Schizosaccharomyces pombe: one gene and its partners. Changing the gene in region 3 together with the main gene of any one other region gives a genetic interaction. Each region holds a gene or a part of one and is shown on either strand. Other genes may lie near its edges.

Region 1 (13,081 bases), on a different chromosome or scaffold from region 3:
TCCTCAAAAAGAGTTTATACTGTCATGCTCTGAGGATGGCTTTACTCGTTTGTGGTCCAAGGATACTAAGTCCACTATTGTCAAATATGCTGGTCATAATGCGCCGATTTGGGACGTTCAGTTTTCCCCTTTCGGCTATTATTTTGCAACAGCCTCGCACGACCAAACAGCACGTCTATGGGATGTTGAGCATGCAGCACCTTTGAGAGTATTTGTTGGACATCAAAATGATGTGGATGTAAGGAACTTTATTTAACTAACAATTCTTATGAGCAGTAACTAACCTTGATTTAGTGTGTTTCATTTCATCCGAATGCAGCTTATCTTGCTACAGGATCTAGTGATCATACAACTAGAATGTGGGACGTTCGCACTGGTGGAACAGTTCGCGTGTTTAATGCCCATCATTCTCCTGTTTCTGCATTGTGTATGTCTGCTGATGGCTTATCGTTGGCATCTGCTGATGAATCGGGCATAATAAAAGTGTGGGATCTCAGAAGTAGTAATCAGCACGTTTCATTCGTTAAACACTCTAGTATCGTTTATTCTCTTTCTTTTTCATATGATAACAAAATTCTGGTTTCCGGAGGTGCAGATACTGATGTTAACTTTTGGGATTTGACATACCGGAATAACTTATCGGACGGCGAACAGTCCCCGCTTTTATTCAATTTTAAAACCAAAAATACTATTATACAAAACTTAAGTTTTACTCGAAGAAACTATTGTCTAGCATTAAGCTCTTCCTAAATATCATGTACATTATGGCCCGCAAATTTTGTGAAAAAAAGAGATATATTATTTTAACGATAACTTTGATATTTGTAAATTTATTCATATTTTTTTAAAATACAATTATACGCAATAAGGTTTCGTAAAGTAAAGAAGATGTAAGTTTTAAGCTTAATATGAAGTCGATCATCACTATCAGAAAGGAACATCTAACCGAAGATTATAAATATAACGGATATGTCGAACGCCTACCACCTTACCACTTTAACCAACTTTAAGAATGGCTAAAAAACTTTCATCACCCAAGGAATATAAAGAATTCATTGATAAATTCGATGTTTTTTTGTTCGACTGTGATGGTAAGCGCTAGCAAAAATATGAAATCTATTTGTAGGCTAACACGCAGGTGTACTTTGGAGCGGCAGTAAGCCTATACCAGGAGTTACGGATACCATGAAGCTCCTTCGTTCTTTAGGTAAGTCCCTTTTATTCTTTTGAGTTAACTCTTTTACAGGAAAACAAATTATTTTTGTCTCAAACAATTCTACGAAATCAAGAGAAACATATATGAATAAAATCAATGAACACGGTATTGCAGCCAAACTTGAGGAAATCTACCCTAGTGCTTATTCATCAGCTACTTATGTAAAGAAAGTGCTAAAGCTTCCTGCCGATAAGAAAGTTTTTGTACTTGGAGAAGCAGGTATCGAAGATGAGCTTGATAGAGTAGGGGTTGCTCATATTGGTGGAACGGACCCGTCGTTGAGACGTGCATTAGCTTCTGAAGATGTTGAGAAGATTGGTCCTGATCCTTCTGTAGGTGCTGTGTTATGTGGTATGGATATGCATGTCACCTATTTGAAATATTGCATGGCTTTCCAATACCTTCAAGACCCTAACTGCGCATTCCTTTTGACGAACCAAGATTCCACTTTTCCTACAAACGGAAAGTTTTTACCCGGTTCTGGAGCAATTTCATATCCGTTAATCTTTTCAACTGGACGTCAACCTAAAATCCTTGGAAAGCCTTATGATGAGATGATGGAAGCCATCATAGCTAATGTGAATTTTGATAGAAAGAAGGCTTGCTTTGTGGGAGATCGACTCAACACAGATATTCAATTTGCCAAGAATTCCAACCTTGGGGGTTCTTTGTTAGTATTGACTGGTGTCAGTAAGGAAGAAGAGATTCTTGAGAAGGATGCACCTGTTGTTCCTGATTACTACGTTGAATCCCTTGCAAAACTTGCTGAGACTGCATAGTTCATTCTTTAATTATACCTTAGATTTTCTTAAGTTAATCTCTATAAATACCTCATTCAAATGAATGATTGCGTTGCGAATTACCGCACGAAAACATGTAGAATACGAAATTAAGTTGGAAAGTAGAATTAGCAAAGTACCAATGACCGGAATCAAGTATCTAAAATCGAATACCGTTGGCTTGCATTTGCTCTTCGTAACTATCGTGTGTCCACCAACTATGGAATCAGTAAAAACCTTTTAGTTGACAAGCAGAAACGTACTTAAAAATACGATTAAGCCTGTATACTCTCACCAAAAACATTGGCATTGGGCATCTTCATCTGCACCTGCTTACAAGTTCTTTAATTTAGGTAATCCAGGTTTACTTTAATGTTATTTACATATCCATAATAATAACAATATAAAAGATTGAAAAAATACAAGCATTTATAGTTTTTCAAACAAATTCTATTGACTAAAACCATTCGTCTTTGACTTAAATGCGGCATATAATCACTTGACAGCAAAGCATAAATGATTCTTGTTCAACAACGAACGGTTCCCATCGATTAAGAAAAAAGAGATAAATTCATTACAGCTTTTTTTTCTCTGCAAATTTAAAAATGCTCTTTAATAAAGGTTTTGATGTCTAGTTATCTTTTGCGCTAAAATACAACTCATCATATATATAAAACATTGGAAATACCTGTAATCCGAACTGCAAACTACGTACTAGATAAAGTTATTTTAACGTGTTTTAACGAGTTGTTGCGATGTTTGTGATATTCGTAAGAAAAAGAGTTGACTCTAAAAACTACTTACTGTGTCTTTAAGGGAAACACGTTCACGTGTTTCGTTCTTCTTATATTTATTAATCTAATCCTAATGAATTAGGATGGAGAAAGAAGATAAATCATTTGGTATTGGAATGTTGGATTACAATAGGGAAAACCCAGAGTCTTCTGGCCATAGCAGAGTGGCAGTTATTCGAAAACAGAAAACTGAACAGGAAAATAATAACTTGAGCTGGGAAGATAGGCATTACATACCAGACCTCCATAAGTCAAATAAAATCAAAACGCCAACTTCTCTTGCTGATGAGAAAAAATCCCACAATGAGTTGGATCCCAAAGCTCAGATTAAAAAGCTCATGGAAACCAGATCAGGAGGGACTTATATCCCTCCGGCAAAACTTAAGGCTTTACAAGCACAATTAACTGATGTAAATACTCCCGAGTATCAAAGGATGCAATGGGAAGCCCTTAAAAAGTCCATCAACGGATTAATTAATAAGGTTAATAAAAGCAATATTAGAGATATAATTCCAGAGCTCTTTCAAGAAAATATAATTAGAGGTCGTGCTTTATATTGCCGCAGCATTATGAAAGCTCAGGCTGCCTCGTTACCTTTCACCCCAATCTATGCTGCTATGACAGCGGTTATAAATACAAAATTTCCGCAAATAGGTGAATTACTATTAACTCGTTTGATTGTACAATTCCGAAAGTCATTTCAAAGGAATGACAAATCCATGTGTATCTCATCTTCTTCATTTATCGCACATCTTATTAATCAAAAAATAGCACACGAAATTGTGGGCTTACAGATTCTTGCTGTTCTTTTGGAGAGACCTACCAATGATTCTATAGAAATAGCCGTTATGCTTCTACGAGAAATTGGAGCCTACCTAGCTGAAGTTTCCACTAGGGCTTATAATGGTGTGTTTGAAAGATTTCGTACTATTTTACATGAAGGCCAGTTGGAACGCCGTACGCAATTTATTATTGAAGTTTTGTTCCAAACACGTAAGGACAAGTTTAAAAATAACCCCACAATTCCCCAAGAGTTGGATCTTGTTGAGGAAGAAGACCAAATTACGCATTATATCAGTTTAGATGATAACCTTGATGTCCAAGAGTCATTGGGTATTTTTCACTATGATCCCGACTACGAAGAGAATGAGAAAAAATACGATGCTATAAAACATGAAATATTGGGTGAAGAGGATGACGACGAAAACGAAGAAGATGAAGAAGATAGTGAAGAAACGAGTGAATCTGAAGAGGACGAATCGGTGAATGATGAAAAACCTCAGGTTATAGATCAAACAAATGCTAGTCTTGTCAATTTACGGAAGTCTATCTACTTAACAATTATGTCTTCTGTAGATTTTGAGGAATGTTGTCATAAATTACTAAAAATTGATCTTCCCGAGGGTCAGGAAATTGAACTCTGCAATATGGTTATTGAGTGTAACAGTCAAGAACGCACATATGCGAAATTTTACGGTTTAATAGGTGAGCGATTTTGCAAACTATCGCGGACTTGGCGATCTACGTATGAGCAATGTTTTAAAAACTACTACGAAACTATACATCGATACGAAACTAATAGATTGAGGAATATCGCATTATTTTTTGCCAACCTCTTGAGTACTGACTCAATTGGTTGGGAAGTATATGACTGTGTACGTCTTACCGAAGACGATACCACAGCTTCTTCTCGAATATTTTTAAAAATAATGTTTCAGGAAATAGTGGAAGCTTTAGGTCTTAAGAGCTTGGTAGAAAGATTACACGATCCTAATTTAGTGCCTTACTTACATGGCTTGTTTCCAGTCGATGAAGCTCGTAACGTTCGTTTCTCTATCAATTACTTTACTTCTATTGGTTTGGGTGCATTAACTGAAGAAATGAGAGAGTACCTCCTTACCATGCCCAAAAGCGAGCCAAAGGAGCAAGATAGCGAAGGTTATAGCTCTGGATCCGAGACAGGATCAACATATAGTTCCTCTTATTCTTCCACATACTCACGTGGGAGATCATATTCTCGGTCAACTCGGTCATACTCGAAAAGCCGTTCTTATTCTCGCTCCCGCAGTGTAACCCCTATCAATAATATAAATCATAAAAAATACATTAGAAAAGATAGAGAATTATCTCCTCGTGGGAGAGAACGGTCATCAAACCGTAACTCTTATTCTGATCTTTCCAGGTCATCATCATTGTCAAGGGGTCGCTCACGCTCTTACACGCCGGAGGGAAGATTAATTGAATCTGAAGATAAGGGTTATCGTTCTCGTTCTTCTTCACCTGCTTCACGTAAGTATCGCTCGCGCCAACGTTATAGACGTTCATACGCTGGTTCTACAAGCAGAGGCAGGTCCTTTTCTCGCTCACCCTCCTACAGAAGAAGGTTGAGTATGTCATGTTCAGTTTCATACTCTAGATCTCCGTCTCCGCTGCACGCCCTATTTCTCGCTCTCCTGCTAGGAATAAAAGATCTTATGACTCTTTATCATACAACCGTCAATATTCACCAAAGGTATCTAGAAAAAGGTCTAATGAATCTAGGTCACCTTCACCTTACACTCTCCGGAAGCAAAAAACATACCACTTGAATAAGAGGAACGAAGACTTTGTTGTGAAGATGGATAAAAAAGGTTCTGAATCACCTGTCATATTGGCACCATGGTTGCGTGAGGTTGATGATGGCGAACTTTATAAAGACAGGAACAGTGAATCAGATAGTGTTCGTAAACAACCAAGGGCTGATTAAGAGTGATTAATGGTTCATCTTCAAAATGCAAATTGTTAAATGTGATGTCTTACTCTTGTCGTTTTTAAAAACCTAACGTTTGGAATTTTATCCATTGAACTTTTGCTTAACTCAAAATAGTTTTGTACCATAATGAATTATAATAAAAGTTGAGACACGCTATGAGTTTGTATAATTTCCTACTAAACTTTATTCGATTTCAATTCTGTAAGCATACGCTATTTGCATTATAGGTCTGAGACCATGATTGTTTGATGTGATATAATTCATAAGCCGTTGAAACAGTACTTAGTAGCTTGTTCATCAATATTGCAGATTGCAAAATAATTAGAGTTGGATGATAAATGATAATGAATTAAACAAGAATGTAAATTAGATCGTCGTAGCAACGGCCTCTTCATGTTAACAATTTCTAGTAAATGGCAATGCTCTATACGTTTAAATTGAAAATAACACCCCCATATCTCAGCCTTTTCTCATAATCTCCATAAAATAAAATAAAAATAAATATGAAAAAATCTCTAGATGTGTTTATGAAGTACCGCTAAGCAATAAATTAAAGGGAACGCTGTGCAAACACGTATTACATTGAAGGCTGTATATATATGTTTAGATTGAAAATATTAGTCATTACTATAGTAATTAAATTATTAAGACTGATTACTGTCACAAAAAGAGAACTATACATTCTTAATAGAACTCAACGTTTGTTTTGTGCCTCGTTATACTATATAATCTTAAAAAGTAAATATAAATACCTATATATTATTAAAAAATATATCTACCTGAATATTACTAAAGCCCAGATTCGGTGGCCACGTATTTAGCTTAGCAGCTTTCTAAAATTTATATATTTGCATTTCACTACAAACTTCTTCTATTTTTGTTGTTTTATTTTATTTATTTAAGGGGACACACGTTTCACAATTTTGAGCAAACAGCAAGCGCTAATATTGATTCTACTAGATATCAGAATTTTTGAAGCACTTGTTTGGGAACTGTTTTAGTGACTATTAATTGTTTAAACTATTATAGTGGTTCTATCTTGGAATTTAAATAGGGTCTCAATTAAAGAAGAATTGACGACGTTTCTATCTTGAATTTGATTTTTCAAGTGTCTTGGTCATTAAATTATCTTTGCCATACATCCAATGGAACAAAAAAATTTAAATATCAATCAGGCTTCAGGTTCAAAAATCAATACCGAATTAGCTGTTCCAATTTTTCAAAGCCGTCGGAGACATCGCCCCAGACAAGGACTGAAGCGTAAAAAAGGATTCAAACGAGATGATGACTCTGGAGGCAGCAGTGAATCATCAAATGAAGATATGCGGGACAATATTCCAATTGTTTCGGGAAGAAAAAAAACCGTTCGCTTAAATCGATTGCAAAGAGAATCCGAGCAATTCGAGAACTCTGCTTTGAAAGATATAAATGTTGAATATCAGTCAAATCTAAGCGCTACTGGTGAGTCCGTTAATACTACAACTGTTTCGGCTATCAACGAAGATACGAGAGAGGTCATTTTAGGTCGACCTTCTCCGAAGTTAGCTAATCAGTCTACTCTTCCTACTGAGTTATTCCAGTCACAAAACGATTACTCTAGATTTTTGCCTAAAAGGAAAGATTTTGAGAAAAAAAGCCAAGTAGGGCCAGTTTTATCTTCCAATGCTTCTACTGTCCGTATGAATACAATTATTGACTACCAACCCGATGTTTGTAAAGATTATAAGCTCACTGGGTATTGCGGTTATGGAGATACTTGTAAATTTTTGCATATGCGAGAGGATTACAAAGCTGGATGGCAACTTGATAGAGAATGGGATTCAGTCCAGGAAAAATACAAAAAAGGAGCTAAATTGGAAGAAGGGATGGTAAAAAATGAGAAAAAAGAGGATATACCTTTCGTCTGTTTAATTTGTAAAAAGGATTACCGAAGTCCTATTGCTACCACTTGTGGTCACCATTTTTGTGAACAGTGTGCCATAACTAGATATCGTAAAACACCGACATGCATCCAGTGTGGTGCAGATACTAAAGGTTTGTTTTCTGTTGACAAAAATTTTGATCGGCTTTTGAAAAATAGAAAATCAAAGAATGACGAGGCGGTCAAGCAAAAGGTTGGTGGTTTCGAAAGTAATAATTCCGCAACTACAGAAGTTTCGGAACGTAAAGATCGTGAAGCTTCATTTCAAGGGTTTGCAGATACGTTGGCAAAACCAAATACATCGGCTCAACAAAAAATGCCTAGTTTAGGTGATAATTCAAATACAATTATTTCAAAGTATTTTATAAGAGAGATTACTGAATCCAATATAGTCCATTTCAAACGCCTCGTTCGTGTCGTTTTAGAGGCTTCTTATAGTGACAAATTCTACCGCCTAGTTCTCAAAAATCCAGATTACGCCCGCATTGCAACATTCGAAGACAAATTCGTTGGAGCCATTAGCAGCCTTGTTGCAGAAGATAATTCACTTTACGTAACAGTCTTATGTGTTCTTGCCCCTTACAGATGTCTGGGAATTGGAAGCTTATTAATTGATCACGTCAAAAAAACTGCCATAAACAATAATATAGACAGAATTTCTCTTCATGTACAAACAACAAACGAATCAGTTATTAAATGGTATACTGCTCATGGATTTAAGATTGTTAAGCAAATCAATGATTTTTACCGAAGGCTAGAAAACAAATCAGCTTTTTATATGGTGTGCCCGTTAAGTGCTCATAATAATATAATTTCAAATCACTAAAATTCACTTATATGTTTATATTACAAAAGCGATGTCAAAGACAGTTTGTAAAATTGGTTTAAGCTTTTAATATTTGATTAGTCCACCTTTTGGCTTAAAATAAACAACAGAAATCCTCAAGCAATGAAAAAAGTATTGTCAAATATAGCGTAAAGATAAGTGTCACTAGATGTGAAACAAAAATATCTAGTTCAGTGTCATTAGTTAATGATAAAAAACTCTCAGTCCATTGATGAACTAGAAACATCCTGTTTAGTTGAATTCGAGCTTATTTCGTTAGACATGCTCCCACTTGGAAGATCCTCCGAGTCAGTATGACCTTTGAAGCTCGTTAAAGACTCCGAACTTTGGTTTTTCGCCGCTTTTAAATTTTCATTCATTTTTTTTGAAGATACTAGCGGTGCAACTTCCTGAAAACTTTTCAACAGTTTACGACGAGCACCCAGTGCCATGATGCCTCGATTTTGCAAATCGAGATCACTTAACGAAACCAAAGCATCCCAATCCGTATCCTTTAAATTATTGGTATACTTGTGTAGGCGCAAACTTCTGAGCCAGCTCGGAATATCTTGCGGAAGCTCATTACCAACATGCTTGTCTGTGTTTTTAGAATGTGAAATCGATTTTCTGGTTTTATTAGATCCCCGTGAGCTTCTACGGTATGTTTGGTTCTTTGAATTATTGGGTGGAGTCTCTATTTTTTCAACTGAACTAAACGGTTGATAAGTGTAAGGAAGGGTGCAAAGGTGCATTCCTACGGGTGTCGAGATATTAGAATTAGGATCTATAGGATTCGTTAAAATCGTATTGGTAGCATGCATCTGTTGAGGTAAACCAGAACCAATTTCGTAATGATAGGGCTGAAAGGGAGGAGTTGAATTGAAATTGTTCAAGCAAAAACCACTTCGTCTCCTATCAATTTCAGAACCATGAATCAACGAGGGTAATGTAACCGGAGTAGTCGAATGTGGAAGTTCGTTGAAATAATGTTGACGATTCAACGGCGTCGATGGTTGCCCAGTTGATTTCTCAACACGAGCATTGACTACAGAATTTAGGTCATTAGCAGAAGGTACGTGCTCAAAACGAAGGGAAGATGATAAAAACGGTTTACCTTCTGTAATGCTAGATCTTCCTTCAGTTCGAGTTCGAGGTCCGATTTGGTTATTACGGTAAAACAGATAAGGCTTATCGCCTAAAGGGCGAGACTTTGGAGAATGGTTTAATAATTCAGGAGGAGGTGGTGGTGGAGGCGGAGAATAAGATATATTACTCCATCTCGAACGAGAAGACTCATCATTCAAATGTGGTGAAAATCCAAGTGGAAAAAAAGGAGCAGGAGGAGCTGAAAAAGCTCCTCTATCACGAGAATCCCAAATATTATTATGAGGAGTTTCAAAAAAAGATGTATTAGGTTTTGATGGTGTTGAATTTGACGGTAAAGACTTTTTAGATGCAGCTATTAAAAGATCAGTGGTCTTGGATGTTTTGCCGGTGGAATTGCTGGTTAAAGAAGATGTTACATTAGCATTAATTGAAGTCCCATTATTAGAAGGGGTAGGAGTATTCCGAGGACTCGTAGAAGCAGAAGAGGCAGGCGGCTCAATGGAGGAAAATGCTAAAGCCTTAGAAAGGCAATTTTTGGAAGATGCCTCACGATCCTGCGTGAGGTAAGTAGATGATACTGAAGATGTACGAACAGGAATTGGCGAAGCCGTAGAAAGAGCGTTAGAAAAGCCATGCTTTGAAGAAAATGCAGGTCCCTGGGTGGACGCGGGAGTCACCATGTTCAAATTTCCAGACAAGTTGGATTTTGTGGTCAATGAAGGAAGTGAACTTGAAAGGGAAGGTGAGTCACCTTTAGGGGACGAAGGGAGAGATTTGTCTAAAGATAAGCCAGAGTTTGAAGGAGAGGACGTAAGGCTAGACGACAGAAGTGTAGATATTTCTTGAGAAGGAAGGTGATGCAAAAGAGTCCGTAAGGTCGTCAGTCGATCTTGGAGACTTAAGGATTGAAACCAGCTTTCAAGAGTTTTCAGACGAGTCAAAAAGGATATACCAGGCTTATCAGCTCCTAAATACTCATCGAAATGTTCCGATATTGAATCTTCATTCTCTTCGGATAGAAGCTTACCGGCAACTTCTTGAGCATTTTTTAAGGTTTCGTTAGTAGACATTTCTCCAGTCGACAGATTAGAAGTGTTTAATTCTTGCTTCAATTTATCTATGGTCCTACTATTTAAAAATCGCGTAGGATAGTTTTTACCATCTACCAACGAGACAGCTATAGTTTGTTTTTGACGTGAAGATGGAGAATCAACAACGTCAAGGCACGTCTTCCGTCTTCCTTCAACCACTTCCATCTAAATCAGGCAGTATAGATTTTGAAATGAAAAATGGTCGATAAAAGAAGATAAAAGTTGAAAAAGTAGTTGATCCTAATGAACCTAAGTTCCCCCTCTAAACTAACTCCTTATAATCAAATCTGCCTCGCTGAATCTTCAAATTGATGAGTAAAAACAAATGATAAAAGGAGATCCCTAGGAATTTAAAAACGACCAGCGTCGAAGCAGGGATCTTTGTTTTGAAAAATGACTACTAGTTGGTGGAAGGAGGAAAGACGGATAAATGTTAGTTCGGGGTCCGCTATATTTAGCGATATGCAAGCCAGTATGCCAAAAAAATAGTTGATTTTACACTTGTTTGCAGAAAATGTTAGTTCTTTCAGATATTCTTGTTTACTGAATTGCATAAAATATACTATGTTTACTCAGACATCTAAATTGGTCTTCTCTTATTTTCTTACTCACGATTACCACTTCAGCAAATGGCTTCGTAATGAATCTACACGTGCAGATGCTATGTTTGCTTTGTAATTCGTTGTCCAATAAACTGAAACATGTTTATATTTGCTTTATATTTACAAAATCAGGTAAATGTTGTAAACTGTATCTACATGTCTATATATTCAAATCAAAAGATTATTACCAAGTAACTTAGCCATTGTACAAAGCATTCAATAAATAAATATATCCGGAAGATTCAACTTGGTGATTTTTTCGCGGATTTACATTGTAGTATATAAACAACTTGTTATTTAATAATACAAAGAATGACTTACTTTTGAGGAAAAGAAGAAGCCTATTTTTCTAATGTAATCATTCATCTTTATGGAATTAAGAAAGTTATCCACTTTCCTGTACTTTACGAGTTGCTTTAAAATTCATGAACTTAAACTGTTGGCACATCACTTAATCATTTATTGTACAACTTGAAGAATTTTTTTACTTTTAAAAAAGTATAGAATATATTTGTTAATCGTAATTTCTTTAAAATACTACTCGTAGAACTATTTGACAGCATTCACTTTTCCGCATAGTTATTCCCACAGTCAGCGAAGCAGCATCACACCCCCCTTAACCCACTCAATACTCCGAACAACAACATTATGTTTCGTTTATCAAATTACATGCTGAGAAAATCACAATTTCCTCAAGGTTTAGTACGTGCTCCTTTTGGAATTCGTGGTTATGCCCAAGCTGTTCAGAAAAATGAAAAATTAGTACTTTCCATGGCATTGCCATACCAAACCATCTATGAGAAGGTTCCTGTAACTCAGGTCGACATCCCTGCGGAAGATGGCGAGATGGGTATCCTTAAAGATCATGTTCCCATGATTCAGTGTCTTAAGCCAGGAGTTATTTCTGTTACTGATGAATCCAGCAACAAATCAAAATATTTCATTTCTGGAGGATTTGCGGTACAACAGCCTTCTAATGAACTTTCTATCACCGTTCCTGAAGCTTATAAACTTGAAGACTTTTCTTCTTCTGTCGCAAATCAACTTCTTGAAAAGCACAAAGCTGAGATGAATTCTTCTGATGAGGGGGTTGCTGCCGAGGCGGCGGTTCGAGTCAGTGTTTTGGAATCCCTCGTTCGCGCTTTAAAATAAGCTAGCAATATTTCTAGTTGGCTGCTGATTTTACAGTTGTGTACATGAAAGTAAACAGGTTATGTTGTGATTCCTTCATAGTGTACACTCTTTTTCGAAAGAACGAAGTTTATAAGTTTGGGGATTTATTACTAGTGTCTTTTCTCAACTGATATCAATAGGTTTTGTTCCAACATATGTTTTTAGCTTCAATCCCAATCCCATCTCTGATTACGAATACATTTAACAGCAAATACAATTATTTTTTTTTCGATGGAAATTATGTTTTTCAATTATACTCAATGATTACATATTGTGTAATGTATTTTACCAGTAGATTTAAAGCGGTGTTTTTCATGCACCGATTGCAAAGTTTTGTCATAGTCATTAGCAATTTTGGCGACTACATGTGAATACAAAAATCTCTATCACAATTTATTTTACAATAAAAGAAGCTGAAAACCCTTAAAAGCCGAAAATTGTTATCTCAATCCAATAACGACTCAAAATTGCATTAACTCTGCTATTGACTTTATTTACTACCCACGCCGTAGCGCACTTTATTTAGTACCAAACATATTGCATGCATGTTGACTTTCCGTATGCTTTTAGTGCATAAAATTCGAAAATCATCAATCACATATAATGATTACATTCCTTGAAGTATTTGTTTACTTCTATTTCTTCCCGCTGTTAGTCTTCATCACATTGCAGTATCCACGATGGACGTTTAATAAATGGAAAGCTTTACTACCAGTATCTGCCTATATTTCTTTTTACTTCATTATAATATCCTCTTTTTCTACTCACTTAAATATTTTATATTTCAACCTGTCCAAGTCTATGGTTAGTTTTGCACAGG
Region 2 (9,351 bases), on a different chromosome or scaffold from region 3:
TTTTCGTTGGCCCTTGCTTATTATTTGGTCTATTATCATTGTATTCGCAGTAGACAAAAAGTTCGAAGTCCAAAAGTTTCTTTCAATTTGGATAAATGAAAATCGGTTCTACAGTGAAATTTGGGTGCCTATTGCTATTTACGTTTGTTTGCTTGTTTTAATGTTACTTAGTTTAATTTGTATGTTTCCTTTATAGTGATGCTTTTTTTCTTTTTTTTTGCTAATAATTTAAAATAGTCTTTGCAGAGTTTGCGGTACTTGCTTTACGGGTGACCGGTGTGATTATAGCAGTCTTGGGTATGATTATAGCAGTCTTGGGAATGATTATAGCAGCCCTGGGTGCAACTATAACTGGCCTTTTGTATTTTGGTCATTGGGCTCTTTACAAACTTGTAATATTGTCTTTAGGCTTTAAAATTGTGACACCAGGAGACGTCTGTGTTTCTAACACTCTTCCTACACATAACGGAGAAACAGCATTACATTCAGAAACAACAGTTGGTTCTGATATTGAACAAATAGAACTACAAAATATGCCTACTCCTGTGAAAAAATAATTTTCTTTATCGTTTTCATGATCATATAGAATATAACTATTCTTAACAATGTTCGAATTGACTGTCCTGTCCAAATCATGCACATAAGGTGCGTTCGTTATGAATTTCAATTATGGAACCAAACCAAATTATGGTTTTAATTAAGATATTATCACTTAATGTAACTAATGTTTTTATCTTTCGTTTCATAATTATTCAAATACTAAAAATGACTTTTTTATATATTTTTTTTTTAAAAGCTTAAAATATATTATATTAAATAAAAAATTTCGAATTGAACCAATTTGGACTCCCACTTGTGTTTCAAAAACTCCATTTCATCTACTTTAACCCAAAATTCAGCGTCATATTCACTACAGGAAAGGAGTTTTATTCATTATCTGTTAGTAGAAACAATTTGGTTTCAATTTTTTATGACGAAAATGCTTCGAGTTAATTTAAGGCTTTGTTTGAAATATAATTCGTTTAGTGATTATTCGCTTAGTGATTATAGATATCGTTCTAATTTTCAAATTACAAAATACTAAACAGCTTTATTTGAATAAACAGTAAAAGATTCTAAATCTTTGGACTACTTTTAAATGGTTGACAGACCAGAAAAATTTGAGAAAGAAAGTTTTATAACAAATCGTCTTATTATCTATCTTGCCTAAAAGGAGTGATCAACCTTGAATGACAGAATTTATTTTAGGTCGATAATGGTTGGACGGTGGTGTGGTGTATGCTTGCTAAGCGAAAATATTGCAGGACATAAGTTAGACGAATTGAATTTTCTACGTTATAATCTGTTCTGGCGCTTGCTCGCAATCGTAAAAACAAACTATTGAAATTAAAAAAAAAAAAAAAAGATTGGTAGTGTACATGCTGAATTTCAATCTATGCTTTAAATTAATAATTGCTAAATTCAAAAAAAAACGAATGCTATCTCTTTATCCACTGGTCATTACCAGTTTTTTTTTTTTTTGCTATATTTTTCTTTTAAAAAGCTTCTGTATTCTCGGGATATTACCAACGGCGTTATTAACTCAATCATCGAATGAAGTACGAGTACTAACGGAATAGAACTAGTCAACGGTGAATGACTTTATCTTTCACGTTCCATACTTAACAGATTTTTTATTATATTCAGTAACTTGTGCTTGTACAATTTAAATCTTGAAGTAAAGGTATGATGCGTGAACAAACCATTTATTTGTGTTCTTTTCCCTCCAATCTTCCCAATGTTTTAACGCTAACGTTATGCAACGTGGAGCACGGTAACTCCAAAACGAAAGATATAAAAGGCTAATCATTCCTGATCTGCTTTTCCCTTGAGCAAGCATCATTTACCAACTTTTTTAAAGATGCGTCTTCATAAAACACTAGCATTGCTGTTATGCAACCTAGTTCTCCATACTCTAGTTAAAGGTGAAGTAGACGCCAAAGCAGTATCTATTACTACATAAAAGGAAAACTCTACCTTGTCAAACCATAATGGACTGCCTAAAGAAGCCAAAAAGCTCACTCTTAAGTGCAGTTGGTTCATTGTGGAGGAATCTAACGGTGCCAGAATACATGCTAATTTTTTTGCACAAAGCTTCGATAAAAGAGAAATTGCTTTGTCTTTTTTTGAAGCAAATGAATGGCAAAATATAATTGGCTGGAATGATCAAGTTGAGGAGATGATTGACTTTGTAAAATCAAGAGACACGGTGATCCAAAAATCTTTTTTTGAGGAATTTAATTCCCAAAACCGAGAGATGGGATCATTTGCATATTCTGGTAACTCGGAATCGGTATGGACGGGCGAAAATATTACAAGTATATGGAAAACTATTTTGATTAATGAAACGGGTTCTTACTGCGTAGCTGCGAGACCAATGACAATGGATGGAGCTGAATTTAATTTAGACCTTATGGGGTATTCGGTTTCAGAAGATCAAATTAATAATGACGAAATTGGCATTTGGAACTATATTTCTGTAGCTGAAATGGGAGGAGTACTATTATTTTTGAGCTATTGGATATGGACTTGTTTACATTTCAGCAAGATTATATTTCCTGCTCAAAAGGTAATCTGCCTTTATATTTTTCTTTTTGCGTTAAATCAGACTCTACAAGAATGCATTGAGGAGTATGTTTTTTCTTCCGAATGTATAAAATACAGACAATTTTATTCGGTGTATGAAATAATTGATTTTCTTCGGACAAATTTTTATCGATTATTTGTGATTTACTGTGCATTGGGTTTCGGCATAACTAGAACTGTTCCTAAATATCTTATGATAAAAGGAATTAGTATTGTCATTGCTTTATGTTCTGTATACTGGATTTCTTTATATAAAGACGTATATGTAGTATCAGAGATTTTTGACATGATCCAGTATGAGGTATCTCCTGCAATTTGGGTGTATTCTATTTGTCATTTATTGAAACAATGCACGTCTGTAACAACTTACGAAAATGCTTCAAAAGCCAGATTTTTTAGAAGAATGCTAAATGCATTTATCTTTATATTCTGTGCATCTCCAATGTTGCATTACCTGTCGAATATTATATTTGGAAACTTTGATTACAGACTGTCGGTGATCATTGGTGATCTTTTCACTTTTATGGAGAAAATTGCTTTTCCATGTTACATAATGTTTCCCACCCATAATGAAGCACTTGCCTACAATCGAAATGTAGCTGAAGAGGCTCAAGAGAAAATGATTTGACAAAAACCATGGTTTACTTGATTCACCTTTAAAGGGGTTACCGGGATTATTTTATTTATTATTTGTTTATCAATGGATTAATATCCAGTTATTTTAATCTCACTTTTTTACACAGAAATTGTGTAGTAAGTTCATTCTTATTTAATATACCACCTATTTATTTTTTACAAATGAATATTTTTTTACTGGAACGTTTTAAATACACATAACCTTTGAGTCGATGTGAAATAATGTTTTGTTCAAACTTAAAAGTTGCGAATCTGACATATAGACAAAAAAAAAATAAAAAGAAAAAACTGGTTACCTTCATAAACATATTTTGCTAATTTATTGAATTTAATTATTTTCAACTTGCTTTCCCATTTTCCCAACAATTTTTTTATCTATAATATATATTTTACAAAATTAATATAGTACATCGCATGGTTTTCTTTAAAACGACATAAACGTATAATAATAAACGGGGATTCAAAGTAATAAATCGAATCCAAATCAACTTTCAAATACATCCATTTCATCTACTTTACCCTTATATTCCCCTTCATATCCCCAACAAAAAACAGGAATTTGCGAAAGTAGTAAATGGTAAAAGTGAATAAATAGAATCAAGGTTAAAAGCTTACTTGTATGCATAAGAAGATAACTCCCTCCTCTTTACTTTTGCTTAAAAACAGATTCTGAGATTCGGGACTAGCATCGGTAATATAAGTTTTTCTTTCATACTGTTGAGTACTAGCATCAGAACCCTTAATGGTAGGAAGATCATCATCATGACTACGCCTTTGTTCAATCGAGTAAACATTTGCTGGTTCGTGCCAGTCACACTGAGAACAACAAAGTACCTATTATTAAAAATGTTAGCAAGCGATCGCTAACAAGTTGAAAAGTAAACACCTCCAACTATTCCATGGAAAGCATGTAACAATGAAGATCAATGAATGGCTATTAGCTTAACAAACTTGTAAACTCAAAACAGACTAACAACGTTTGTCAGGCACTAAGAGCAATAATGGAACAGACTTCATATCAAACGCTTTCTTGAATGTTCTTACCTTATTCGTATAAACCGGAAGAACAGGCACAATGAGAACCGTTACGGTTTTCAACTGACGACATACTCGGACTAAAAACAAAAGAAAGAGCCAATTGCTTTCGAAACTACTGAACTTGTTTATTTCTCGTACCAGTCTTCTTTGAACTAAAAAAAAAAAAAAGCATTAGCAAAATGTGTTGTCAAACGGATAAAAAGAGAACAGGAAGAAGATTGCTGGAAACAATTTTAAAACAGCGAATAAAAAAAAAAGAAAAAATAATAATAATAATAAACAAAATACGAGTCGCTAATTTTTGAAACTAATCGCTTCCAACAACTGTTTCATTATAACTTCACCATTTTAATATTGTCCCCAAACAGCATGATTTAATTCTCTTTCACTAATTTCATACCACACAGGACACGTAAGTAAAACATCCTTATAATCGTCAGTGGATATCCACATATCTCGTAAATGTAATGGCATTGTTAAAAAAAATAAACACTCAAGTGAATAGAATTATGAAGAATTCGAGTCTAGTTCAAAATATTTGTTTTGACAGAGTCCCTCTATTTATACCAAGACTAAGCCTCACAGTGAAATATTGTCTAGCAGTAAAATTGCTGATTTATTTATTATATTGTTGGTACATTTACTCGGAAGTACCATCGGTTTCATCTAAATTCCGATCCTTTACATTTGGATGCGTCGTAGTATATCATAACAAATTTTTTCCTCGTTTCATTAGAACTCACTCCATTAACTCCATTAGAACGTTTTCTAAATTTCAAGTCATTATACTTTTCTCTATTGAGAAAGTCACTAGGTCAGAAAGCAAGAATCATTCTTACTCGAAAACCGATATTAGTGATCTGCACCAGGGCTATAATAATCCACCATCAAGATTCATATCACGATAACAATTCCATAGTATCTTGCTATATACGTGTAATGAGTATTCGATACTGGCTTGATTGCTATTTCTCCTTTGCTTGTAATCGTAAAATTGACTTGAAGATCTAAACCTTCTAATGCAATCATTGGAATTCTGCCTAACCTGATCAAATATGGCTTGATCGCCGTTATGTTAAAAGCAGAAGCTATGCCAATCAGTATGATTGTAACTTACAAAAAAATATAGCACAACGACATACAACATTATGGTACAATAAAGAGGACTTGATATATCAAGAACGAGGTTCAGTTTGTGCTCCGTTTATATTATTGTATTTCTATATATGACATTACTTGATGCAATCGCTTAAATATGTACTTTTGTGTAGTTATACTCGCAAGTACAGTAGCATTTTTAAAGTAGCGGTGATGTTGACGAATGGTTTGTTTCAAATCCATCCATTTCAATTTCAATTGTAAATTTCTCTTTTTCAATTATTAATCAAGTAAGTTGAAGTGTATCAGCACAATAAATTCTGACTATTACTACTCTTAAAATAAAACTCAAGCGAAACTAATTTTTAATAGCAAGTCATATTCTTAGTTTGATATGCTATCCGCTTTGGTTTTGCATTGTTATGACTTTGTATAACCTAATAAGGTGACGAAAAATCAGTTCGTTTATATTTTTGATGAGAAGAATTCACTATTATTACACAGAAAAACATTTACTTCTTATTAGATACCTTCAATATAATATATTTTTTAAATGTAATAGCGACGACACTACCCATAATTTACAATACATTGTATGGTAAACAACTGAGTAGTTGATACACCCGATTTTCATTGAGTCATACACTTTGCGCTTACTATCACTTTATTTGGCTAAATGCATAATTTACAAGCCATTCCAATATTTCGCGCACTTTTCGGACATAGTAATAAAAGCCGAGGTAGTTTCGGCGACTTGCAACATGTTTTTTTATCGTCAGCTCGGAAATAGATTTCCTGACAGAGAAAGAAGGATATAAAAATAAACATGATGGGGCAATAAATAAATATTTCACCATTTTTTATATATCATTAAGAACAATGAAGAAATATATCTCTGAAGTAAAAAATAGTTGGGAAAATATGTATGAAGATCCCGCAACACCATTTGATAATGAGAAACCAGACGAATAGATCATGAATCTTGTACAACTGGGGAAATTACATGAGAATGTATTAGATGCCGGTTGTGAACCAAATAGAAATGCTAGATATTTAGCCAGTCTTGGATATAAAGTCGTGGGTATTGATATTTCCGAAAGGGCTATTTCTAAAGCAATCGATAAAACATCTAGTGAAAAAAGTAATGTCAACTTTAATCAACGCGATTTTTCAAGATTAAATGAATTCAAGGGGCATTTCGACACTGTGATTGACATTGGTTGTTTTCATTCAATTCTAAATAGTGATCATGAGCCATACACAGCTTCGTTAAGTCATATATGTCACTCTGATAGCTCCGTTTTCCTAAGAGCGTTTAGCGAAACAAACAAATCACGTTATAGACGGTGGCAGGGCCATAAAAGGTATTCCCTCGCTTTAAAAAGAAACAATGTCAAAAAGCTTTCTTTATAAACTATTGGAAGATTGAAGACATTAAAGAAGAAAAGTCCTGCTTCATCTTCCCCTAACTAGAAAAATAAATGTTTACACATGGTTTGCCAAAATGCGTTGTAAATAGTTCATGTACATAAAATATATAAAGATGAATGGACATATACATCAATTTTAAGAACCCATTAACAAAAAAAAATTCAGACACTCAATTAGCTAGCTAACAACTGTTCTTTACGAAGAGTTGAAAGAAACTTACAACCAATGGAAACCTTAGAAATATCAAGGCTATGATGCACTAGCGAAAATCCATTAAACTGACCAGAGCTTTTAACTTTGATAGATTGGCTATTCTTATTAGAAATCGATTGTTAACATTCATGAATTCAGCATTATATTAATGGTTAGAAAGTTATGGATCGAATATAAATGCCAAAGAAAGCAGGTGTGAGGTGGTCATTTGCTGAATCAGCAGGATGGATCCATGATGGATGGGATCGTGCAAGTCTAAAGAATTCTTCTGTAGTGAGTGTTCGTTGAGGCGATCTATAGGACAAAATAGCAGAATTGTATAAAAGAACTTGGAAAAAAGTCTATTAAAATAAATTGAGTATACTTTCCATGCCTGTAATTTATAACTTGCTATCGTGCTTACTTAGAATGCTCCGCGGTGAAGCGTGCACCGCGGAAAACTTATTGCATGTATTTTCCGCGTAACTGAGATTATATACATAAGTTAAGTATTTTGTGCATTAATTTTATATTTTAACCGGACCATACAAAAGTAACCAAAAAAGAAAATTGCTTTTAATTTAGAACCTCAAGCCTACTACTTTCAAATAACTTTTGGTGATTTTTTGTTGTATAGGAATACTATAGTGGAAACGACCTTTAGTATTGCTTAATCAATCTACGTAATTACTTGAATAATCGCTAGAAGATTTTCATTTTTTTTTTCAAACAAATTTCTGTGTTTTATATGAAAGAAGAGTCAATTTTAAAAAAATGCGATTCAAGTTCCATAAAACACGTGCCATCAACCCCTCTAGAGACAAACTGTCCAGACAAATATAACCCTAAAACATGGCCTATTCGTTTAAAGGTACGAAATGTCATTGTTATTTCATCAATGACTTTTTTGAATCAATACGGTGATAGTGTCTTTGCGCCAAGTATTTCCAATATTGCAGAGCAATTTCATGCTTCGCGAACCTTGGTCACTCTAGGAGCCACACTTTATACATTAGGGATATTATTTGGAAATTTAATATTTGCTCCACTTAGTGAACAGTTTGGAAGAAGACCTATATATTTAATTGGTTATAGCGTATTTGCACTTCTTCAGATTCCCATTGCTCTGTCAGTAAATTTGGCAATGTTTTTAGTATTTCGTTTTTTTTCTGGACTTTTCGGATCCGTTGGTTTATCAAATGGATCTGGCTCACTGGCTGATCTGTTTGAAAAAAAAGATCGAGGAAAATATATGGTGATTTATTTTACCGTTCTCTCGATTGGACCAGGAATTGCGCCTATAATTTCTGGGTTTATTAGCCAAAGTTCAATTGGTTGGCAATGGGAGTTTTGGATTCTATTAATTTTATCAGGGTTCAATTTATTTTGGGCCTTTTTATTACTAAAGGAAACATATCCCCCTGTTCTCAATCGCAAGAAATTTGAAAAATACGGCGAAATAGGAGAAAATGAACCAGTAGCGTTGCGTCTCACAGGTAAGCAACTGCTTATAAAATTGTTAATTTTATTGAGTATGAAAAAGCCAATTTCTATTTTACTTTCCCAACCCATTTTAATATGTGTAGCCTGTACCATTGGTTCTATATATGGAATGATAAACTTGGTGCTTATAGCTTTTTCCGAAGTTTGGAAATCTTCATATGATTTCAGTCCTGGGATTAGTGGTTTGATGTACATATCCATTACCCTTGGACTTTTTTCAGCAGTTTTCATTGCCATGCCTATCAACCAAAAGTTTTATTCATATCTGGTAAAGCGAAATGGTGGTGAAGGTGAACCTGAATTTCGACTTCCTATGGGTTTTATTGGAATCACACTTTTTGAAATAGGAATTTTACTTTTCGGTTGGACTGCAAGATATAAGATTTTTTGGTTTGTGCCAACAATTGGATCAGCCATTATGGGTGGTGGGTACATTATGACTTCCAATCCCTTAAACATGTATGTGGTAGATTCATATGGAATTTACTCAGCCAGTGCGTCAGCGGGTGTAAAAATATTTCAACTATTATTAGGAGCCATCTTTCCATTATTTGCTGAAAGTCTATTTCGTCGACTGAACTACGGATGGGGGTGTACTTTACTTGCCTTTATTTTATTAGCTTGTGGCTGTAGTCTTCCAATCTTATTCAAGTATGGAAAACAAATTAGAAATCTACGACCATTTGACCCCTCAAAATACTAGTTGATTTAACTGATCAAAGTGAGGATTTTCACACACATTTTCAGAGTACTTGGAACGTGCCGAGCTGATTAAAAAACACCGGTATTAACAAAAAATTTTATTTATGAAGCAATACGCTATTTCGT
Region 3 (10,034 bases):
GAACCTACTAAGTATCCACATCGTCAAACATTGACTTTAAAAATCCGCAAACACTTTTGGCAGTCTTAATCCCTAATAATAGGAACAATTTATTTTAAGCTATCTCACAAAAAAAAAAATCGAATAGAAAGAATACGTGTTTTTATTAGAATTTGATATTAGCGAATTTCGAAGTCAATTTTTCTAGCATCCTTTACTAATATATTTGAAAACTGAATTATTTTGATTTATAAAATTATGTTTTCTATTGATAGTTGCTTGAAAACAAGGCCCTTAACTTTTCGAATTGCTCGTCTTGGTATGAACTTCACGACATGTTCAGCTGCTAGATCATACGTTGGAAAAAAAGAAATCATTGTTCCAAAAAATATCCAGTTTGATTTGGAGGGGGAACAACTACAGATTACTGGACCTCATGGAACACTTAACATGAGATTTCCAAATTATCTCAATCTCTCGAAAACTAATGACATCCTAAAAGTAGGAATGGATGCCAATATAGAAAAGCAAGCTACTAAAAAGCAACGTGCAATGTGGGGCACTACTAGGGCTATCCTAGCTAATAATGTAAAGGGAGTAACTATGTACTGGCAATCTATTATCAAATTGGTTGGTATCGGGTATCGGACTTCTCTAAACGATGGAAATATTCATTTAAAAATAGGTTATGCAAACGACATTTTGGTCTCTATCCCTACTGATGTACAAGTTGAGAATCCAACGCCAACCAGCTTGGTACTTCGTGGAATTGATCGACAAAAAGTCACACAGTTTGCAGCAAAAATTCGATCGTTTAAAAAGCCCGAGCCGTATAAAGGGAAGGGGATTTATGTTGATGGGGAAAAACCGCAGTTAAAAGCTAAACGGAGCATATCATGAGTTCTTTGGATTTCATTATGCAGTACATTCTCATATTTCAATTTTCCATCTGGCATACACCTTGTGCAAATTCACTATACAAACTCATTTCTTACAAACACTTATTAAATCACATTGCAGTAAAAATTGTCACAGACTGTTAGTAGCGTATAAACGTACAAAAGGAAATGTTATTCAATGAATAAAAATATAAAATCATCATTCGCTCGACACCCTTTGCCTCCTAGAACAGTCCTTTACGGAATGTCTGACCTCAGTTTTTCATGGATTGTTGTGAAACTGCCTGTTTATTCCATTTACGCAATGCAAGTTCTCGTAAGCTTCTTCCTCGGGGACGATGCTCTTTTTCATACAAATAATAACCATAAGTACCGACGAAGATTCCAAACAAAGGATCCATCCATCTGTTTAAGTAACATGTTAATATAATGAACCGAGTCTTCTTACAATCTTACTTAGAAATTAAATAGGGTTGAGACATCTTCTTTTTGAAATGACTTCTTCTCTTTTACGTGGCTAGCTGATTACTTTTAATCAATAGTAGTAGTGAGACTGTAAGGTTGGAAATATGTAGTAGCCTAATGAAGTATATGGGCCGCATTGAGCAAATACCTAGATATATCCATCATACATCCTTTTTATCGTAGTAATAAACTGATATTAGAGTCATTTTGTCAAATTTAAAGCTCGCTTTTTATTAAAAATTTGAGAATGCTTTTATTTATGTTTCTGTTTCTTAAATAATTAATAGTTGCATTCTCACATTCTTTTGAGAAACTTAATAAAAATGTGAGTATTAAATTCTAAGATGAAGTTTGACGAATGTATTTCCCTAAATTGCTTCCTCCTTATTTTTAATATTAGCGAAAATTCGAACTTGCCCACTAACAAAAGCCCAGTACATGTAGAGTGCAAACAAAGCGCACTACATAAACAACCATCGTTGTTAATATGTCATTTTATAAAGAAAAATCAATTAATGAAACAAATCTCGGATCGTTCGTTGACGAAAGTAATGAACTTTTTTTTTCGGCATTATCGGAATCCTCAATGAACCATGGAACTCCTGATGATAGCATTCTACTTGACTTAGTAAGTCGTTCAGACAATAAAGATTTATATCAAGATTCTCTCGATGTTCGAGATAATTTTTCAAACTTATCTAGTGATGAAATTCCCCAAAGCAGTTCCTATGAACAAACTCGCAAGCCATTCTTTCATCATTTTAACCCGTTCGAGTTTTTAGAAGCCACAAGTCCATTGCAACAAAATGGCAAATCTAGAGATACGGAGAAGCCTCCTTCAATGAAAGAAAAGGATTTGTCTTCAAATAGCAGTTCGCAGCATGATAAAGCCTTTCATGAAAGGGTTGACCAGGGGAAAAATAAATCGTCAACCACTAAATATCAAGAATTTCGAACTGTCGCTGATTATCGAGAATTTTCTCCTGGACAATCAGTCAATTCATTGAAGCCAAATTCTGGTGATGAAGTTCCATCAACCAAATCCTCAACGTCTTCTGAAATGCATACTCAACTATTGAAGGATGAGCAAAAGAAAATTTTAACACCCGCACCTGATGTGCCTCATGATGTTTACTGTATTGAACCCTCTTTGGGTCGAGTTTTTTCTTTTCCGGCTTCATTCGTTGCATCTCCTTTGCTTTTAGAAGATTGCAATAAAATAGCATCTTGTGATCTTCCTTATAGTACATTTTATGCTAACTCACAAGTTATTGATAAATTTTCTGAATATTTTGCATACGTGGATCAGGATCCTTGCCATATTCGCGTACTGAACGCCAATACCGATCAATCGCTCATACTTTATACGCAATCTGATGTTAAAAATCTACATTTTGGCAAAAATAAGCATACAAAGCCCCATCTTTTGGTAATGGACGCTCTCTCTAATCTGTATGTTTGGAAAATTTTACAGAAGCGATCTGAAATTTCAGTTTCACTTTTGTTTACCATCCGTCGTGCCAATTATGGTATTTGTGATTGGATTCCTAATTCTTCAAATATGTTTTCTATGATTGTAAAGAATTCTTTATATATTGTGGATATATCAAATATTCGTTCCAATAATATTAGCCCTAAAGTTTATGCAAAAGATTTTAATGGATTACAAGCTGCCAAGGTTGATTTACCTGGGCCGATTAACTCATACACCATCTCTTCTGACCGTTCTGTTGTTGCAATATTAGTGAATTCTCAAATTTTTTTCTATTCATTTCCAGTTTCTAATTTATTTTCTACTAATCCTTCACACCGAGGTAACTGGGCGGCTATCGCGACAATGAGCCTTCAGCTTCCGAGTACAGCAAATTCTATTTCTTTTCTTTCATCTCCACCGAACAATAATGATATCATTGATAAAGTTATTTGTGTCTCCTATGCTAATAATACTATATTAGGTTTATTTGATTTTGGGTTATGTGCTTTTACTCAAGAAATTGAGTTTTCAAATGAAAAAGAGAAATCACCTATTCAGCAATTACTTACTTTCAATAATTCAAACATGATTGTTGCAAAAAGGAATCAGCTTTTGGATATCTTTATTTATTCACCTTCTGATTTATCCAATGTGGGTGTATTATCTAACACTGCAGCTTTGATCTCTGCTGTTTCCAAAGGCAAGCGTTTTGGAGATTCTGGTTATATTAATAAAGTAATATCGAATGAGGTGGTGGATCATAGCATTGTTTTTGTCACCTTAATTGGCTGTGATAGTTCCAAACTTGAACTAATTTTGGCACTAAGTTCTGGATATTTTCAGTTCTGCATAGAAAGCGATTCCAAATTTGACGAGGGCACTTCTTTGGAATATCCTAATTCTGACAAGCGAATTTTAGCTAGGGCATCATTAACTTCGGGATTAAAGTCTAATAACACGCTAAGGGCTTTGAGTCAAGATTTAAAAAATTGTGCAAAATCTAAGGATGATTCCACAACACAAAATCTTACAGAGTCTTTGGGATCAGTTTGTTATCCCTCCATGCCATTCTTCAATCAATACGTTCCTCAAAATCCTAATGAGGTTAGAGAAAATATCTCTTCAGTCATGAAAAGTAGAATCCACGCAAAATTTGAAAGCTTGCATAGTCGAGTGGAATTGGTTGTTAAGAACTCTTACATGAAATTGTTGGAGCAGACTATTTCAGAAGCTGCAACCGATGAAATTTCTGATCTTTTCAAATTGATACATTCAAAACCTTTTCTTCTTGAGGTAGGATTCCTAGAAACTGGATTTTTGGCAAACGACTTGGAAAACTTAACATCCACTTATAGAAGCAGTAATAGGCAGTTGTGCGATTTTTCAAACCGCATAGGAAACATTAACCAAAAGCTTGAAAAACTCTTAATGATTGAGCGATTAGAAACTAGCGATCAAAGTCCAACATCCTCTTCTAATTTTGAAGAATCTGAGTCATTTGCAGTATCGAAAAAAGTTTTGGAATTGGTTCGCATTTCTAAGAATAAAGAGGCGTTAATTTGCTTCACGAAGGATCCCTCTATTGAAGCATTCCGGTCATTACAAGATGTGCCTGATTATTCACTAGATGATTGTTCTTCAATTCATCTTTTAGCATTTATTCATGTTCTTTCCAAGTTAATCATAAAAGAGGAACAGCTATCATTTTCTCGTCTTCAACTATTATCGCGAGCTACTTCACGTCTTCGGACTATGACATTATCAGTATTTAACAACAGCGGCACATTAACTCCTGAGCTGTTCTCCTCCGTTGTGCGCATTGTTCTTAAAAACGTGAGGGAATTTGTGCTAATTGGTAACTCTAGTATACAGAAGTCGAAGCACGAATTTTTAATTACGACGCTCCAAGCACTGTTAAGAGAAGTCGATATTTTTCTCAATACATAGAAAATGGAGGAATCTCTGAAACTAGCTTATGAGCGACAATAAGCTTAGCTGCAAGCACTAGTAATTTTGTCTTTTACGGCATTTTTTCCTTATAGGGGGCATTTAAGCTATTAACTATAAGTTAACAAATAAGGAATTTTATCGTGTTACCTTATTATACCGTTTGCCGCACACTGGTGCTTTTTTTTATTAATTTATATAGTTGTGTTGTCTTTTGAATACCTAAGTATTTGGCTACATACAACAGAGAAATGGTATAACGACAACATTTTAACAAAACCTTTTTTGTTTTTAATTTCTTTTGCTTACCATCAATCCCTGGGTTATGAGCGGACTACCATTTCATATTCCCGGTTATTATTACAATTCTGAAAAAAAGCGTTACTTTCGAATAATTAGCTCGGGGCAGTCTACTCCGTCCTCTAATATTTATACTAAGGAGAGGTTGAAAAGGGGGAAGCGTTTTAATAATATCAGTAAAGAACGAACCAAAGGAAAAGGAGGCAATCCCGTTTTCAACTTTTCAACTTATCTTTTTGATAGACAGTTTTCACAATATCCTTATTCTTGTAATGATGACAGAGATTATTTATGTGCAAAAAACCTAAAAAAAATAAATCTTCGGCAGCTTCCAGTTGGGACTGAGCTGCAAAAAATAGGTTGGCTTCGCGAAGTTAATACCATAATTTTAACTTCCAAAAACGGCGACATATTGGGGTGTTGTCTTACCCCTGAAGACAAATCTGGAGTTGCAAATGAAAAATATACTTCAGAAGGTTCAATTCAGGATTTTTCCTTGTCAAGGATAGGCCTCTCTAATAATCCCATTTCTTCTTTGGTATGTAACGCAATGCAAATTTTCTGGTCTACATCTCCTTCTCTGCAGAATGAGGGACAATTTCATATATCTACTTATAACCAGCTATTGGGTGAATCCAATAATTACCGTTGGGGATCTCTTAAACTTTTGAAAACCCCTTTATGTGCAGAAAGTATTGGAGAGATGGGCTTTGCAGTTGGTGGCACCTCAAAAATTGCAATAATTAATCGAGAGGGAAAATTAACGCAAAGTTTGCAATCTAAAGGAGACGTATTCAGTCTTAAATATTTGGGTGACAACTTAGTCATTGCTGGATGTCGAAATAAAAGTGTATTAGTGTATGATCTTCGGACGAAGAAAGAATGTGTACAGCGATTCTATCATGGATCTAGCATTTGTTCAATGCAAAACTTAGATTTTTCCCAACCGAAGCTTTTGGTTAGTGGTTTGGAATCTAAAATTTCTTTGTATGATTGCCGATTTCTGCAAAGTAAAAAAAGACCCCAGTCAATTATGTCTTATATGGGTCATTCTAATTTGCTTGAAAGAAATTTAGCTTTGATGAAAAATGAGAATGGAAGCATTTTTAGCAGTGCTGGTGATGATTATGTTTTACGTTTTTGGAAAACCGACTGTTCGTTACCATTCAAGGAAATGCGAGTTGACGATGGTAAATATTTATGTCGAGATGGGTCTTGGGTAAAAGCAATGAATGGTACCGGTTGGGTTCTACCGTATGGTCGAGGCTTACTTATTTACGAACCATGAGCATTTAACAAGGTGAAGAAAATTCTTTTTGGTAGCAATAGTATCTTTAGTCTTACGGATATATGTAATGCTTGTTTACTTTTCAATCTTTCAAAAAAGTTTAGGAGATTTCAATATTAATTAATAATTGTTGACGTAAAAGAAACTATGGAATAAATGTAGTAAATGCATACGCTTTCACTAGAGCGAATACAAAAAATAAAAATATAAAAGACAGATCCTCTAAGTATCATGTTTCATCACGAAATTAAACAGTTTTCGCTTTGCTTACGTGATTTCTGGGTATTGGATTTGTTACGACGAGGAGTGTTGGAAGCCTTTTTAGGAGTCTCCTTTTTTCCTCTTTCTTCTTCTTCTTTCGCTAGTCTCTTGGCATATTGTTCATCATCTTTAGCGCGTTTTTTTTTCTCCTCCTTTCTTTGATTCAAAACATAAACAGCAGGAATGAAGTTAGCTGCACAAAGTTCACCATTGCCTGTCTCAACTGTTTGCGAGTCAAAGGTTTCCCACACAACATCTTCACCTGTCCTTGCGTATCCACTATCTGTGACCAAAGTAAATTGTGCGAATGAATCTGGATTTGAATACATGGTACTGAAATGACTGGAACGAAAAACCACGACTATTTCCCCTGGACCTACAAGCTCAAGAATCTTTTTAAGACCAGCATTCGTCAAAAATTGCATTGTATAACGATTTTCCATAACTTTGTCAACACATGTAGCTATTTGAAGTGTTAGTTTGTAAAAAACATATAGCAAATTATAAGGCTAAAGTCTCTCAAGCAGTAAACTGAAGAAAGTATGCACGACAGATAAGTAAAAACTTACAATTATTTAAAAAATCTTGCTGCTGTTCAGTTAGTGGCTCCTGCATCTCTAATAGAGAACGACGTTCGGCAAATGTATCTGCAACTTTTTCATAATATTCAAGCTTTCGAAGGTAGCTTAAATCTTCGTCGCTCAAACCCATATCATCTGAAAGAATCCAACCATGAACTAATCGAACTCCAAATGTACAAAAGATTTCATGCCCATACTCAAACTTTTCAATATCATAGAGACAAGGATTCAATTGCTGACCGAAATGCATAGATGTCAGTTTATCCTGAAGACTTTGCTGATTTTTGCATAAGCCGTATGCTTTAGCAAACTCCACCAAGTATTCTGTCAGTTCATCGGGTGTGATGTATCTTTTCTTCGGCAATTCAAATGGTCGATCTACGTTTGACTTTAATATTAATGCATTGGACAAAGCAATTATAGGACACGGGCCATTAACTGAATACAAAGTAAGCAACTTAGAATTTGCGGAATAAAAGCTTGCAATTATGTTTAAAACGTTACAAGTCTTTATAAGGATTACCTGTTTGACATAGAATAATTCGTTTCTGGTATTCCCTTGAAAGGGGTTCTATGAAAGGAATAGTTCTTGTCTGGTAGGAATTAGAATGGTCCTCTTGCTTATGGTTCTGAGTTTCATTATTATGCTCTTGAGTATCAGGATCGTGTTCCTGAACATTATCCATGGCTTGGTAATTAACAGAACTTAGGTTTCTTAAAGAATTCCTTTTTGAAAATTTCAAATTTATATTCAAGGATTCCTAAATGTGTCATTTAAATTAACCTTATGAGTTAATTTAGAGACGTTGATCGTAAGTTGGGTAAGGATATAGCTTACACCACCATATCACAGTAAAACCAGTGTCAGTGCTAATGATAAAAGGTGTTTACTCAAAATAAATTTAGTTTTATGACAGGAGGATTTATAGTTTAAATGAAATCTTATATACTGAAATTGAACTTTTAGGATTGTGCTATATTTCGTATACATATTATTAGGTAATTGCAATTGGGGCCCAAGCTTTATACATTCAGTATTTGTAATAATTGCCTTTGTTAAGTTTTTAACAGCTATTTTGTAATCTTCAAATTTTGGATTCTATTTATAGTGAAGAAAGCAATGAAGTATATTAAAAAATCGACTTTAGTTGCAAAAAGTTAAAATTGAATTTATATTTTTAAAAATTAGTATATTAATTAAATTTCTTTTAAGTGTTGATGAACTCTTTTGCACTCATTTACTGTAATTATAAACTAGAAATGAGGTATTTGTAAAATTACAACTTCCTTTTATTAAGTTGTCAGAAACCCAGAAAATTTTAGAAAATGAGTTCAAGATTGAAAATTAAAATAAATTAATCAAATAAATGAGTTTAAAAAAAACAACTGTCTCTTAAGACTTTTCCAGTAGATATCTTTTCAATGCTTAACAGTTGTAATTATTAATGAACCAAAGAAAAGTTATGAATTTGCTTTAAAGTATGCGTTTTTAACCATTTTATTTTCAGCTATGTTTGAAAGTTTAAATGCAACTTCAGTAAAGTAGTATTGATTATATAGGTAGCATCATCATTGAAACACTTTTCATAATTTTCATCTTATAAACGAGAAGGCTATATAAGCTGCTTTATACTGGATTTACAATTTTCAGGAAATTATTTCTTTCAGTTGATTGACCAAGACAATGAAGGATGATTGTAATATACTTTGAATAAATTAAAATTGAGATTATAATTTAATTATACTCTAAAAGAAGTATTATAGAAAAGACAAAACTATTTTGTTTGTTATCATTTATACTCGCGAAGCTGGATCTCCCTGATGAATTCATTATGTTCTAGGAACCAAACTTAACGATTTACGTAATGCATTAACTAAAGTTTCGCTAACCGACAAGTGATAGATTACAGCTGCAATTGTTATACTCTAAGCGCTAACGCATACATATTAGCGTACATCTCATTCATCTTGCTTTTACAATATATTGTAAATTTCTGAACATCTTAAACGGATATTTTATGATATTATACTGCACATACAACTCATCACTTTTCCTTGCCCATATTTGACGGGCATTTGATACTCTCGACATTTACAAAATGCTTTTGCCAATTATTATGCTTACTTCCGGTGTAGCTAACACCGTCTTGTCGAAGTCAGTAGCTATTTTATTTATCCAATAGTATTGTTTGCTAACAAATCATCTCAAATAGATATCAAGACAGTATAGCAGAAGAAAGTGAACCCATCAAGAGTATGGCAGTTCTTCAAAGCCTCAACATTTTTCTTGGGGAAGCATGTTTATGGTTTTATGTGTTGTATAAACGCCACTCACAAGGTCCTGGCTACGAATCTCTTGACCACCTACCTTTAAAGCACAAAGTTTTCATGGCTCTTCCAGCAATCATGGATATATGTGGTTCAACATTGATGAATGTTGGCCTTCTTTATACTAGTGCCAGCATTTATCAAATGACTAGGGGTTCGCTTATTATTTTCGTTGCCTTGTTCGCTACGACTTTACTAAAAAGAACAATCGGTCAATTGCAATGGCTCTCACTGAGTTTCGTAGTTTTAGGAGTTGCAATTGTTGGTTATTCTGGATCCTCTTCTTCTATTGGTTCAAATCCCATTTTAGGAATTACTGCAGTTTTAATCGGCCAGTTTTTTTTAGCAACACAATTCACAATTGAAGAATACATACTCTCGTTTATTCAAGTCGACCCTTCAGAATTAGTTGCTTATGAAGGTACTTATGGCGTATTTTTTGTCCTTTTAGGAATGATTATTTCTTACTATTTTATCGGTTCTACTACTGCTGGATACCACGGGTGGTTTGA

Evidence for each region.
Region 1: mutations in wdr21 (region 3) and vts1 together harm fitness less than expected from each alone (positive genetic interaction), as found in Schizosaccharomyces pombe (one large-scale study listed by BioGRID).
Region 2: mutations in wdr21 (region 3) and SPOM_SPBPB2B2.18 together harm fitness more than expected from each alone (negative genetic interaction), as found in Schizosaccharomyces pombe (one large-scale study listed by BioGRID).

The regions. Positions count from the first base shown.
Region 1 is NC_003423.3:3,035,116-3,048,196, forward strand, and holds vts1 (RNA hairpin-binding protein), read right to left. Parts: upstream 10,896-13,081; 5' UTR 10,652-10,895; coding exon 8,510-10,651; 3' UTR 8,289-8,509; coding exon of another isoform or gene 6,687-8,288; 3' UTR 6,525-6,686; downstream 1-6,524. Other genes in the region: taf51 (transcription initiation factor TFIID subunit taf73), read left to right, coding at 1-238, 295-750; pho2 (4-phosphoerythronate phosphatase/2-phosphoglycolate phophatase, involved in detoxification of glycolytic by-products), read left to right, coding at 1,013-1,091, 1,139-1,207, 1,247-1,995; zf-C3HC4 domain-containing and GCN5-like protein cwf24, read left to right, coding at 6,687-8,288; F1-ATPase delta subunit atp16, read left to right, coding at 11,737-12,240; gpi14 (pig-M family mannosyltransferase), read left to right, coding at 12,865-13,081.
Region 2 is NC_003423.3:4,497,812-4,507,162, reverse strand, and holds SPOM_SPBPB2B2.18 (uncharacterized protein), read right to left. Parts: upstream 4,472-9,351; coding exon 4,438-4,471; intron 4,377-4,437; coding exon 4,306-4,376; intron 4,096-4,305; coding exon 3,877-4,095; intron 3,637-3,876; coding exon 3,499-3,636; downstream 1-3,498. Other genes in the region: SPOM_SPBCPT2R1.01C (uncharacterized protein), read left to right, coding at 1-179, 238-557; SPOM_SPBPB2B2.19C (transmembrane helix domain-containing protein), read left to right, coding at 2,219-3,253; ftm7 (transmembrane helix domain-containing protein), read left to right, coding at 4,767-5,207; SPOM_SPBPB2B2.16C (MFS family membrane transporter), read left to right, coding at 7,769-9,226.
Region 3 is NC_003424.3:324,540-334,573, reverse strand, and holds wdr21 (WD-repeat family protein wdr21), read left to right. Parts: upstream 1-4,988; 5' UTR 4,989-5,089; coding exon 5,090-6,352; 3' UTR 6,353-6,378; downstream 6,379-10,034. Other genes in the region: mrpl6 (mitochondrial 54S ribosomal protein uL6m), read left to right, coding at 238-879; nce101 (non-classical export protein 1), read right to left, coding at 1,133-1,283, 1,335-1,360; protein eti1, read left to right, coding at 1,831-4,764; cysteine-type deubiquitinase Miy1, read right to left, coding at 6,592-7,076, 7,183-7,632, 7,718-7,880; gms2 (NST UDP-galactose transporter), read left to right, coding at 9,294-9,349, 9,408-10,034.